3 linked regions of the Cricetulus griseus genome follow. The protein of the gene in region 1 interacts with the protein of each later gene in a biochemical or structural test. Links are inferred from orthologs where the notes say so. Each region holds a gene or a part of one and is shown in the gene's direction. Other genes may lie near its edges.

What was found.
Region 2: the proteins of Irf4 (region 1) and Spi1 are reported together in a solved structure, tested with the Homo sapiens proteins (2 studies listed by BioGRID, with this or other methods). The link is inferred for Cricetulus griseus from reciprocal best matches to the Homo sapiens genes IRF4 and SPI1.
Region 3: the proteins of Irf4 (region 1) and Stat6 form a complex in vitro, tested with the Homo sapiens proteins (2 studies listed by BioGRID). The link is inferred for Cricetulus griseus from reciprocal best matches to the Homo sapiens genes IRF4 and STAT6.

What each region holds. Positions count from the first base shown.
Region 1 is NC_048596.1:251,459,428-251,463,074, forward strand, and holds part of Irf4 (interferon regulatory factor 4), read left to right. Parts: coding exon 1-125; intron 126-1,708; coding exon 1,709-1,816; intron 1,817-3,647. UniProt on the Homo sapiens protein: Transcriptional activator. Binds to the interferon-stimulated response element (ISRE) of the MHC class I promoter. Binds the immunoglobulin lambda light chain enhancer, together with PU.1.
Region 2 is NC_048599.1:85,659,903-85,664,170, reverse strand, and holds the start of Spi1 (transcription factor PU.1), read left to right. Parts: upstream 1-1,462; coding exon 1,463-1,511; intron 1,512-2,234; coding exon of another isoform or gene 2,235-2,237; intron 2,238-3,947; coding exon 3,948-4,070; intron 4,071-4,268. UniProt on the Homo sapiens protein: Pioneer transcription factor, which controls hematopoietic cell fate by decompacting stem cell heterochromatin and allowing other transcription factors to enter otherwise inaccessible genomic sites.
Region 3 is NW_023276806.1:130,086,816-130,090,462, reverse strand, and holds part of Stat6 (signal transducer and activator of transcription 6), read left to right. Parts: intron 1-1,549; coding exon 1,550-1,644; intron 1,645-1,746; coding exon 1,747-1,883; intron 1,884-2,185; coding exon 2,186-2,332; intron 2,333-2,525; coding exon 2,526-2,589; intron 2,590-2,686; coding exon 2,687-2,791; intron 2,792-2,882; coding exon 2,883-2,966; intron 2,967-3,647. UniProt on the Homo sapiens protein: Carries out a dual function: signal transduction and activation of transcription. Involved in IL4/interleukin-4- and IL3/interleukin-3-mediated signaling.

The sequences.
Region 1 (3,647 bases):
GCCACCTCATGACAGAAGCTGGAGGGATTATGCCCCTGACCAGTCACATCCAGAAATCCCATATCAGTGTCCTGTGACATTTGGCCCCCGCAGCCACCACTGGCAAGGCCCATCTTGTGAAAATGGTAAGGAATGTGCTAGGGAAGGAGGCAGAAGAACACCCTGGGCTCAGGGTGTGGGCAACTCTGGGTGACCCTCCCAGGCAGCACCACAGGGCTTTCCCCTTCCACAGAGATGCAGAGAGACATCACACGAAGCTTGGGGCTGGGGAGGAATCTTGCCTTGTCCTGTAGGATGCTGAAGTCTTCAGAGCCATGATAGGCATCACTCTGTGTGGAAAATTAATTAAAGGAGCCCAGAAATCATTTCAAGAGACTGAAAAATGCCTGCTCCATTTTCAATAAATAGAGAAAAGCATGGATATTTATTTATAAGTGCCCAATGGCAAAACATGTCAATTATAAAACTTGTCTACTTTTTCTTTCAATTATTTGGTCAACATGTTTTCACCCTCTATAACATTATGCTTTCTTTGTCATATTAGGATGGAGGGATAGATTTTTGTCAGGCTTCCCTCTAAATTGTCCCTTATTACTTACTGGTGGAGAGCCATACCATCTCCCTATCCTATTCCTTTCAACTCTCCTGTAAAGGGACCATACTACAGCTGTGCCCAGGCCACCTCTGCAGAGACTTCAGGAGATCATTGCTAATTCATGTCCCTTGAGGAGTGCTGAGTCATTTGTAGCTGTTCTTGGTACTAAGGAATAACCAGAGCAAAAGTAATCCACAAAACTTCTCTGCAAAGCAGTGCCAGGTTCCAAAAGACCCACAGCACACATGCCCTAGAGGTTAGATGAGCACCCACAGAAGAAACACCAATTAACCGAACACAGAAATTTTCACTGAAGAATGTTCAGTGAAGCTTTGATCATTAGGCATTTATTTAGGCACGTGCACTGAACTACACCCCACACCCCTTTTCAACTGTGTATTTTAAGGGAGAGTCTTGCTAAATTACCCAGGCTCCATTGCTCTTTGACCCTCTTGCCTTGAACTCCTGAGTACCAGGGATTACAGGCCTGTACCACCAGACTGGATATAAAACAAGCTTTTAGGACTTTCAAGTTCATTGTTTTGACACTGTTCACCACTCGTGTGGTCCTTTTATATTATTCTGGGAATAATTTCCTTGTCACAATTTCACCCCCCCTCACCCCCAGAACCTACATTTTATCCATGCTTAAGCTATTCTTGGTTTAATATGATATAACTTCTCTGCTGCCAGGGAGCATGATTCAATTTTCCCCAAAACTTATAAAGGGCAATGAGGATTGGATAATTTATTCATTTTTTAAACTATCCTTATATAAATTTGAACCCTGGCTCTGCTGGGAACTTGCTGTGTGGGCTGGTGCAAACCCCTCTGCTTCTGAGCCTCAGTTTCCCTGTTGACAAGTTATGGATGGAGCTCCATGTTTCCATCCAGAGCTGGGCTGCCATTCCTTCCTCCATCACCCTGTATTTTTCCCACTGAACTTGAAATTTGGCCTTTGCCTCCTAGTCACATGCTCTGCTGGCAGTGGGTGTTTAGAGCCTCTCAAGCTTGAGTTGGAAGGTGACTGGGCGTGGCTCCTCCCAACTCAAGAGCCTCCCTGAACTTGGACTCTCTGTTTAGACATCATCTGATTTTCATTTGCAAATGCAGGTTGCCAGGTGACAGGAACCTTTTATGCTTGTGCCCCACCTGAGTCCCAGGCTCCTGGAATCCCCATAGAGCCAAGCATAAGGTCTGCTGAAGCCTTGGCGCTCTCAGGTGAGTGTAGCGCTTCCTTTAAGGCTCCGAGGGAGGTGGCATCTATCCTCTGGGTAGATTTAGACTCTTGGGTGAGGATTTAGACTCTTACTTTGGAGGCCCTGTGGTCTGGAGCAAACATTGCCCAGGCAGTATGAATATCACAGTAAATAAAGAACACTATTAGAAATCTCTGCTGGAGTACTAGCTAGCCAAACACTATTTGAATGAAGTCATTAACATGTACATCATTACCTACCCAGCTTTCCAGGAATGTGTAGTCAGGCTCCTCCTCCAGCCAACATACTTCACAGTACAGAGAGGCTTAGACAAAGTACAAAGACTTTTCATTTCCAAATGCTGTTTGCCTTTCAGGGTTAGCCAAAAACAGGTGGTCCTGAACTGCTTCCAGGGAACACTGGTTCTGAACCCTGGTTTCTGAGAAATTCCTATGGCCCCAAAGGACCATATTGCTCTGTCTCCCCTGCAACTTCAATAGAATTTCTGAGCTTGCATGGATTTGATCTGATTTTAAAGTTTCATTACTAATTAGAGATACTGCCCTGTTTTAAGGAAGCCCCAACACACTTGAAATATGCATCCAATGTCCATTGAGTCTTTAGATGATTTTTGAACGTTTTCAAATGGAGTTTGAATGGATATTAAAAGTAGCTTGCACATTAGAATTCTCACCACGCCTATGGCCAAGTACATTTTGAATGTTTTAGACACTTCCCTTATTCACAAGGGTGGAAAAAGTCTTGACACCTAGTTCCTTCCAATTCTGATGCTCAAGGAGACTTTGTGAGCCACTTAAGAGCAGAAAAGGGACACTTCTGAGCATCAGGGCTTGTCACTGACTCTAGAAACCTTCAGACCCTCTCTGGAACACCTAAGACTTGTATGGGTGCCCCAAGAGTAGGAAATAAATAGCTATTTATATCTCTGCAATCTTGTGATTCTGGTGACATTAAATGAAATGAAACCTGCCCTACCAGTCACCTCAGATGGCCAATGCCCCCTCTCTTTGGGTGCATTGCCTGACTTACCGTTTATAGCAGCAGAAATGGAAGACACCATGATGTGGGCTGTCTCAGAACCATTGAAGAACACGAGGGTTTTGTGGGTTTCTTTTTCTGGTTTGCATAATTAATGATCAACCCAGAGTGCACTCTTTAGAAAGCTACTCTTTCCAGGCATTGTTTGGGCTCCAGCCACCACATGGGTATCTGTCTCTGCCGGGGAGCCCTTTGCACACCCAGCTTGCCCTTTAAGCTTGTGGGTGGTGTTTTAAAGCGGTTTCTGAAATCAATAAACTCACCCATCAATAAATGCTTGTAGAAGCTACAGCTTCTACAGCTGTAGAAAATATAGTTGTTGGGCTCTTTTCAAAGTTGAACACAGAGTTTAGAGGGATTTCAGGAGATTTAACATTAACTATTGGCTCTTAGAGCATTTTCACATCAATTCCTCCCCCTACCCCAAGAAAACTGACTTAAAATAAGAAAATAAAAGTATTGTTTTTCATAGCCCAGAAGTTGTTATTTTAGTGTTTACCTCCAACATATCTGTGTGGGTTTGTTGTTGTTGTTGTTGTTATTGTTTTGTTTTTACTTAAATGACATCATGGTGACACTTAGGGAAGTTCCAGAGATGTTGACACATTTACTTTTCTTCTGAGATGACTCTGTAGTTTTTACTAGTAGAAATTAATCTTAGAGTTCAACTCCAAAATTAAAATTGATTTGGCTGGAAGATGAATTCCCATTCAGTGGTGTTACTTCATATTTTAGATAAAACGCCATCCAAAAAACCTTCATAACAGAGGTGCTGTCTTGTAAAATTGGGCTGA
Region 2 (4,268 bases), on another chromosome or scaffold:
AGGAAACTGAATGATCAAGAAGTTGACTCTCAACAAAGTAGACTCACTGGAGGTTTGTGCGTGTGCGTACGCATGTGTGTGTGTGTGTGTGGGGGGGGACCTTACTATTCATCGCTCTGCCTTCTACACTGGATCTTTGAAAGGCAGGAAACCTTTTTATGTTCCTGGGATTCAGCATAGAGTTTGGAGTTCACTTGACATTTGGAAGATGCATGCATGGATGGATAGATAGGTAGACTGGTGGGTAGACAGATCAGTGATAGTAAGTGGATGGGTGGATGAATGGGACAGACAGATACCATAAGTGACTAGGTGGATGGGTAGACAGACTGATGGATAGGGAGGTGGATGGATGGATGGAAGTGGAGTGGTAGTAGATGGATAGATAGACAGGGAGATAAATAGATAGGCAGACGAATGGATGGATACGTAGGTTAAGTGAAGAGATGGATATGTGTGTGGAAGAATGTATGTGCAGATGGATGCTGGATGAACAGATAGATGAGTAGATGCATGGCTGGTATGATGGGTCGAAAGATGAACAGACAATCAGAAAGAGATAAGGATAGGAAAACAGATAAAAGGATGAACATACAAGGAGGAATTATAAACTAGGAAGACTAAATGGATATCGACATTCCAGGGTTGGGGAAATTGAGAAATCTGGGCTGGGAACACTGTCTCTAGGGATCTGGACGCAGCTGTGGTACTTAGCTGGGAGGGGAGGATATGAAAAGCCAAGGCCATTCCCAGGCGAAGGAGAAGCCCACTTGAGGCACCAAGAAAAGAGATACAAGGTGCTAGTAGACCCAAGGTCTACTGTGGGCCCTGAGTGGTTTAGGTAGACCTAGCAGAGATTGCAAGGCCTACACGAAGAGTCAAGTCTGACAGCCTTGGGATTAAAGTCCTCCACCTTCCAGATTCACTCTAGAAATTAGTGACCCCATGCTGTCACTATTCTGACCCCAAAGAGATGACTCGGCTGAGAAGCAATTGGTATTATTGGACTGAAAGAATAGTGGACAACCTTAGAAGGCCTAGCGACTGGGCCAACCGAGGCCTTCCGTGGTTGTGCTAGCCTTTCTCCCTCCCAGCCCCAGTTTCCTCTGGGCAGGGGGCCTGGCCCCATAGCCTCCCAGGGCAGCCCTTTGAGCACCACCTGCCCCAGCCGGCCAGAGACTTCCTGTAGCGCAAGAGATTTATGCAAACGGGCTGGGGCGGTGATGTCACCCCAAGGGGACTATCTCCCAGTGGCAGGCCCTTCGATAAAATCAGGAACTTGTGCTGGCCCTGCAATGTCAAGGGAGGGGGCTCACCCGGGGCTCCTGTAGCTCAGGGGGCAGGCCTGAGCCCTGCGTCTGACCCACAACCGTCCAGCCCCCCGACGGGGCACCTGGTCCTGAGGGGATCCGCACTGATCCCCACCGAGGCAGGGGATCTGACCAACTTGGAGCTCAGCTGGATGTTACAGGCGTGCAAAATGGAAGGGTTTCCCCTCGTCCCCCCTGTGAGTACTGGGGCTTCATTACCTGCTCAGCCTGGGGCCCTGGGACGTGTGACCATCTGCCCACTAACCCACCAATTTACCCGCTCCTCTCCGGCTCCCTATCAGTGGGAAGTCGGTGTTTCCTCCCCGGAGCTGCTGGTCTGAGACCCAGCGAGGGGCCATTGGCTCCCTTAGAGCATGCCCTGGCGGGCTGAGGGTTGCCGGCTGGCCCCATGGTGGGGCTGTGATCGGTGGGGCCTGAACAGCTATTTATAGGTGGGGCTCAGTGGTAGGCCAAATGCTAGGACAGGGTACTGGGCTGAAGACGGTGAGGGCGGCTACTGGGAAGCCATGGATATGGAGATCTGAACTGGCCTAAGGGCCACCGGAGGCAACAGGAAAGGTTTCAACCCATGACCGGTGGACTCTTGAAACAAAGGCTGGTGGAACTCTGGGTCACTCATGGGTCCCCAACATTCAGTTTGGGGCCTGGCATAGAGGCATGGCTGTTGATCCAAGTATTTGGGCTTTGGGCCTACATGGACCTGAGAATCTGGGGCTGTGGCCAAGGCTGGGCAAGAGCAGAGCATACGGCAGAAATATGGCAGCTAGATTTGTGGCCAGGGCTGGGCTGAATAAGAAACTTAGTGAAGGGTGGGCCTGGGACCAGAATGAGACTGAGATTGGCGATGGAGGACCTAGATTGAGTATTCCACTGCGGTTAGGGTGGAACAAGACAGGGACACAGCAGGTGGGCAAATCTCCATTGTTTCTCCTATTTTCAGTGACAGTGGCAGCTTTAGGCAGATGGCAGTCACAGTGCCTTGAAGACAACCCTCTGGCTTTCTCCTGCCCTTGGAAGTGTTGGGACAGCAAGGAAGGGCTGAGCAGTGCCTGCCCACCTGACTCAGCTTTCCCGAATTAGAGGCAGATCTCTCTTCTACCCCACCCAACCTTAGAGCCCTAGGAGGCACCCCAGGCCTGACATCATAGCCAATGTCCTGCAACAGGGCCAGGCCCAGTGTGTTGCCAGGAAACCTAGGGAAGGGAGCCTCCCTCACAGTATAGTAGACAGGGCTGGCCAGACCTTCCTGTCCCCCCCCCCATCTTGATCTCCTTCTCCCACCTGGGATGGAGAAGGTGCTGGGGCAAGCATGGGTGATGGAAGTTGTCCCAGAGAGGGTCCACTCTGCCCCAAGTAAAGCCACTCTCCCTGACCCTTGACCTCTCCTTCCTGAACACCAGGCAGAAATCGGCAAGGGGAGGACCTTGAGCTCCTATACCAGCTCCTTAGGCCCTGTCTCCAGCCCCAGAGGCCATTCCAAGTGTCTCTTGAGTGGGTGGGCTCCCAAGGCAGCACTGCCCCACCAAGCAAGCCCTGACGGCCACAGTAACTATTGTGCAATCCTTGGGCATACTCTGCGGGGGTGGGGAGAAGCCGGATGACTGTCCGGAAAGCTCGGTGTGCATATCCCTGTGCCCAAGAAAGTGACAGAGGGTGGGGAAAGGAGGTGGAGGAGGCAGAGGGAGAAGAGAGGGAAGATAGAGGAGGGAGGGAAGAAAGGCAGGAAGGCGAGGACAAGGAGGAGGAAGATAGAGGAGGAGAAAGTAACAGGCAGGGAGTCTTCCATCAAAGACACTGAGGAAGAAGGGACAGTCAAGGCCCTCTGCCCCTTGACTCCCCAAACTGGCCTGGGTGACCTTTGTATAAGTAAATCATCAGCATGACAGTCATTGTAACAGTCCTGCGCCTGCCTAGGGCTGAACTGACAGAGGCTAACAGTGAGAGAGGAGTGGGCTGGGCAGACTGTAGCAGAGAGACACAATGCTGCATGCGAGAGTGCGGGTGGAATGTGGGTGGCTCTGTGAAAGGCTGTGTGGACCAACTGGTGACTGGAATTCTATGTGAGCATGTGTGTGTCAGTCTCTGTGTATGCCTGCAGGGAGGGCGCACAGTGGTGTATCTATGAGTGTGACTGGTCCTGAGAGTGGATGGAAAGAGTTGTGTGACATGTGGGGCTCATGAGAGGGTGAGCACAATGCCTGCATGTGAGATATAGACAGGAACCCAAGAGTGAATGTGTGCACATGTGAGAGCGAGCTCCCATATGGGTTTGTGTGTAAGTGTGTCACAGGGAGTGTTTGCACATTTGGGGGAAGGGTGCATGGCTGTGGATGGGAAAGAGCAACATGCCCCATAGGCATGAGTGTAAGTGTGAGGGTGCAGAAGAGAAGGGGGGCTGCACCCTCTTCTCAGCCCTGACCTGCTGACCTCTGACCTTTCAGGCCCATCACTGCCCCAACACACTCTCCTGATCCTCCCACCATCACCTTATCCCTGTATCCCTGGGCACTCTGGATTCTAAGCAAAGGCTGGGTTGTTCCCAGGTGCCTCAGGCAGGGAAGGTTGAGGGCTTCAAACTTAGCTGAAAATCTTGCTGGACTGTCCTCAACTGTTTAGGCTCTGATAACTTCCTGTCTCTGCAGCCATCGGAAGAGCTGGTTACTTACGAACCTGAACTATACCAACGCCAAACTCAAGACTACTACTCCTTTATGAGCAGTGATGGAGACAGCCACAGTGGTGAGTACAGTGTTCACCATACTCGTACCTCATCACAGCCTGGACTGGGTGATGAGCATGCCCGGGGCTAGAGAGAGACAACTCCTGAGGCTACTTTGAATTCTGAGAATAAGATGAAGGCAGCTGCCTCATCCCTGTATTATACAACTTCTGTCCCAGCCCTTATCACTGAACCTCTTCCCTGTGTCAAGGGCAGAT
Region 3 (3,647 bases), on another chromosome or scaffold:
GCTCTTTCAATTTCCTGCCCCCAAGTCTTTGCCTTTGGGGCACTGAAGATCTCTCTAGCCCCATCCCCACCCCCACCCCCCACCCCCACTCAGGAATAGACTTTTAGGGTCTTCACAGTGCCTCCATCATGACGTGGCCCAGAGAGAAAACTCTTCCATTCTGTGGCATTTTCTGGCATCCCTTAGTTTTGGTCTGGGGGCCTATCTTTCTTTCTTTCTTTCTTTCTTTCTTTCTTTCTTTCTTTCTCTCTTTCTTTCTTTTAGTGATTTGAATGATTCAGTCCGATTGTGTGCAAACAGAGCTCTGATTCAAAAAAATGACTTTGACCCATTAGAAAAGTAGTCTATTGCAAAATCTGGGTGAAATCACACAAGACCGTGTGGTACAGGACTGCTGCCATGTGCTGACTGCTTACTACATACCAGGCACAGTTTCACACTTTATGTGTTAACTATCTTGATCCGTCTGTCCAACATCCCTTTCGGGTGGGTAGGTGATATTTGTGTGTCTTTTGCAGATGACAAGCCTGTAGTTTGTTCAAGGTCTCACACCAAGTGACCCAACTATGGTGGAAACCCAGATTTCTTTTTTCTTTTGCTATGTAGCTCAGGCCAACCTCATATTCACTGTATAGCCCAGGCTGGCCTTGACCTCAAATGCCTCCAGCCTTAGCCTCCAGCCTAGGTCCAGAAATTTACCAGCATGAGCAGCCATGCCCAACAGGAGCCCTGTATTTCTGACTTTTCATATCAGTTACTGTATTTTCCTGTCTCCAAAATGAGATGGCTCAGGACTGAATCGGTTACAAGAACAGAGAGAGGAAATCACGTGCTTCTGCCCTTGGTGGTCGTTACGCACAGAAACCTAACCAATGCTAAAGTCATCTCTCCTGGTGCAGCACCTTCCCCTGGCTCCCACTTTAGGTCTTTTCTCTTTCCAACAAACAAAATATGGAGGGTGGGGAGAAGGTCATGTAACCAGAGAATACATTACTGAAGGGAACAGGACGTGGGACAGTTGTAGACAATCATTCCGCTGTAATGGACCTTTACCAGGCCCCCTTGAGGACAGAATTTAGCACAGTGGTTATGAGGGACTCCCATGCTAAACTGCTTGACTTAAATCTCCACTCTGGCTGGGTGGTGATGGTGGTGGCACACGCCTTTAATCCTAGCACTTGAGAGGCAGAGGCAGGTGGATTTCTGAGTTCGAGGCCAGCCTGGTCTACAGAGTGAGTTCCAGGACAGCCAGGGCTGTTACACAGAGAAACCCTGTCCTTCATCAGTCGTGTGGACCTCGGGAAGTCGCTTTCCTCAACATCCAGTCAATTGTAACGATGACCATGTTATATCCAGAGTTACTGTTATATCCAAATAAATTAGTATACAGAAAAGCCTGAAGGAATGTCCAAGGCAGTCAAGGTGAGTGGTTGCCACAGATGGGCCTTAGGTCACTTTGGTCCTCCACCATCGACATTCAGCTCTCAGCTCTGTGCTAGCTCCAGCTCAGCCCCTCCCGTACTCACCTCTGCTCTTCTCCACCCTTCAGGAGATCCTGTTGGGCCGAGGCTTCACTTTCTGGCAGTGGTTTGATGGTGTCCTAGACCTCACTAAACGCTGTCTCCGGAGCTATTGGTCAGACCGGTGAGTCCCTGACCCCAGGTGGCCACTCACCTGTACCTGTGTCTCCCTCGCCTACCCCAGTGTCCACATCCCCATCCGTGTCTCCTCCTTCACTCTGCCCAGGCTGATCATCGGCTTCATTAGCAAACAGTACGTCACAAGCCTTCTCCTCAACGAGCCAGATGGAACTTTCCTCCTCCGCTTTAGCGACTCTGAGATTGGCGGCATCACCATTGCCCATGTCATTCGGGGTCAGGATGGTGAGTCTCCACAGCCAGCCCTGACTGCTGTGTTCTCTTGGGCTTCTGGGGAAGGAAATGCCCTGGTGGTCCTTGATGTCCGCCTGATCTTTAGGAAGTTCTTCTTTAGGTCTGGCTTCTTGCCCTCCTATGGTCTAACCTTCTACTCCCATGGCAATGGAGATGAGTGGGTGTCCTTCACGCAAGACCTTCCAGGCTAGACCTTCTCTCATATGCCATGATGGTTGAGAATGGGACTTGTGTGGGGCTGGGGGAAGAGACGTTTGGACAGAGGAGACCTCAGGGTCTCGTTCCTCTTGTAGGCGCCCCACAGATAGAAAACATCCAGCCATTTTCTGCTAAAGACCTGTCCATTCGATCACTGGGAGACCGAATCCGGGATCTTGCTCAGCTGAAAAACCTCTACCCCAAGAAACCCAAGGATGAGGCCTTCCGGAGCCACTATAAGCGTGAGCGGGCGGTTCTGATCCCTCCTGTCACCCACTTTCTCCCTGTTCCAGCCATACCCCTCTTTCCGCCTGCTGCTGTTATTCTTGTCTTCCCTCCCATTTCTGTAGCCCCGCCTCCACCTGCCCATCAACCTTCCTCCTTCCCACCTCCTTGATAGTGTGACACACCATAGTTCTGTCCTTCCCACCACAGCTGAACAGATGGGGAAGGACGGGAGGGGTTACGTATCGACTGCCATCAAGATGACTGTGGAACGGTAAGTGCTATGGCGGGGGTAGCGGGTGGAGATGGGGACTGGTACTTGTATCTGCAGGAAGGAGTGGCAGTCACGTGTGCTTCTTCCTCTCTGTCAGAGACCAGCCTCTTCCTACTCCAGAGCCTCATATGCCCACCACAGTGCCATCTTACGATCTTGGAATGGCCTCCGATACCTCCATGCAACTCAGCTCAGATATGGGGTAAGAAGGTTGAGAGACAAGGAGGGGCCGGCGCCTGCCAACGGGGTTATCAGGGGAAGGACTTGCATCAGGGTCTGCTTTCTTTCCTCAGGTACCCTCCACCGTCTCATTCCATCCACTCATTTCAAAACCTCCCCCTGGAAGAGTCAATCAATGTACTTCCAGCCTTCCAGGAGTAAGTCAGACCCCATGGAGGGTGAGATGGGGCAGCATCCAATGGCCAGCACTTGCTGTGTGTTTGCTTGATAGCTGTGATGCTGGGGGTTGAGTTTAGGGCTAAGGACTGAATATATGCCGAGCGTGTGCTCTGCCGCTGAGATACATCCCAGCAGATGTGATTTTTTTTTTTTTTTTTTTTTTTTTGAGACAGAGTTTCTCTGTGTAGCTATGGAACCTATCCTGGCACTCTCTCTGGAGACCAGGCTGGCCTCGAACTCACAGAGATCCGCCTGCCTGGATGTGATGATTTTAATCTGCTAATCTTCATGATCCTAGAAACGGCCTAGACTTTTTTTCTTCCCCAAGTAGCATTAAGTTGCTTAATCAGCTCTGAGTCAAGGGCTTTTCTGTCTTCCTAGGAATTGATGTAGAGTGGGCCTGGGAAACAGAACCACAATTCAGTCTCAAGAAAACATTGGGCCGGGCGGTGGTGGCCACACCTTTAATCCCAGCCCTAGGGAGGCAGAGGCAGGCAGATCTCTGAGTTCAAAGCCAGCCATTTCTTCAGAAGTGAGTTCCAGGACAGCTAGGATGACACAGAGAAACCCTGTCTCAAAAAAAAAGGAAGTAAAAAAAGAAACATTGGTGGTTGGACACACACACCATTTCTCAGGGGAAAAATCTAATGTAGGATCAC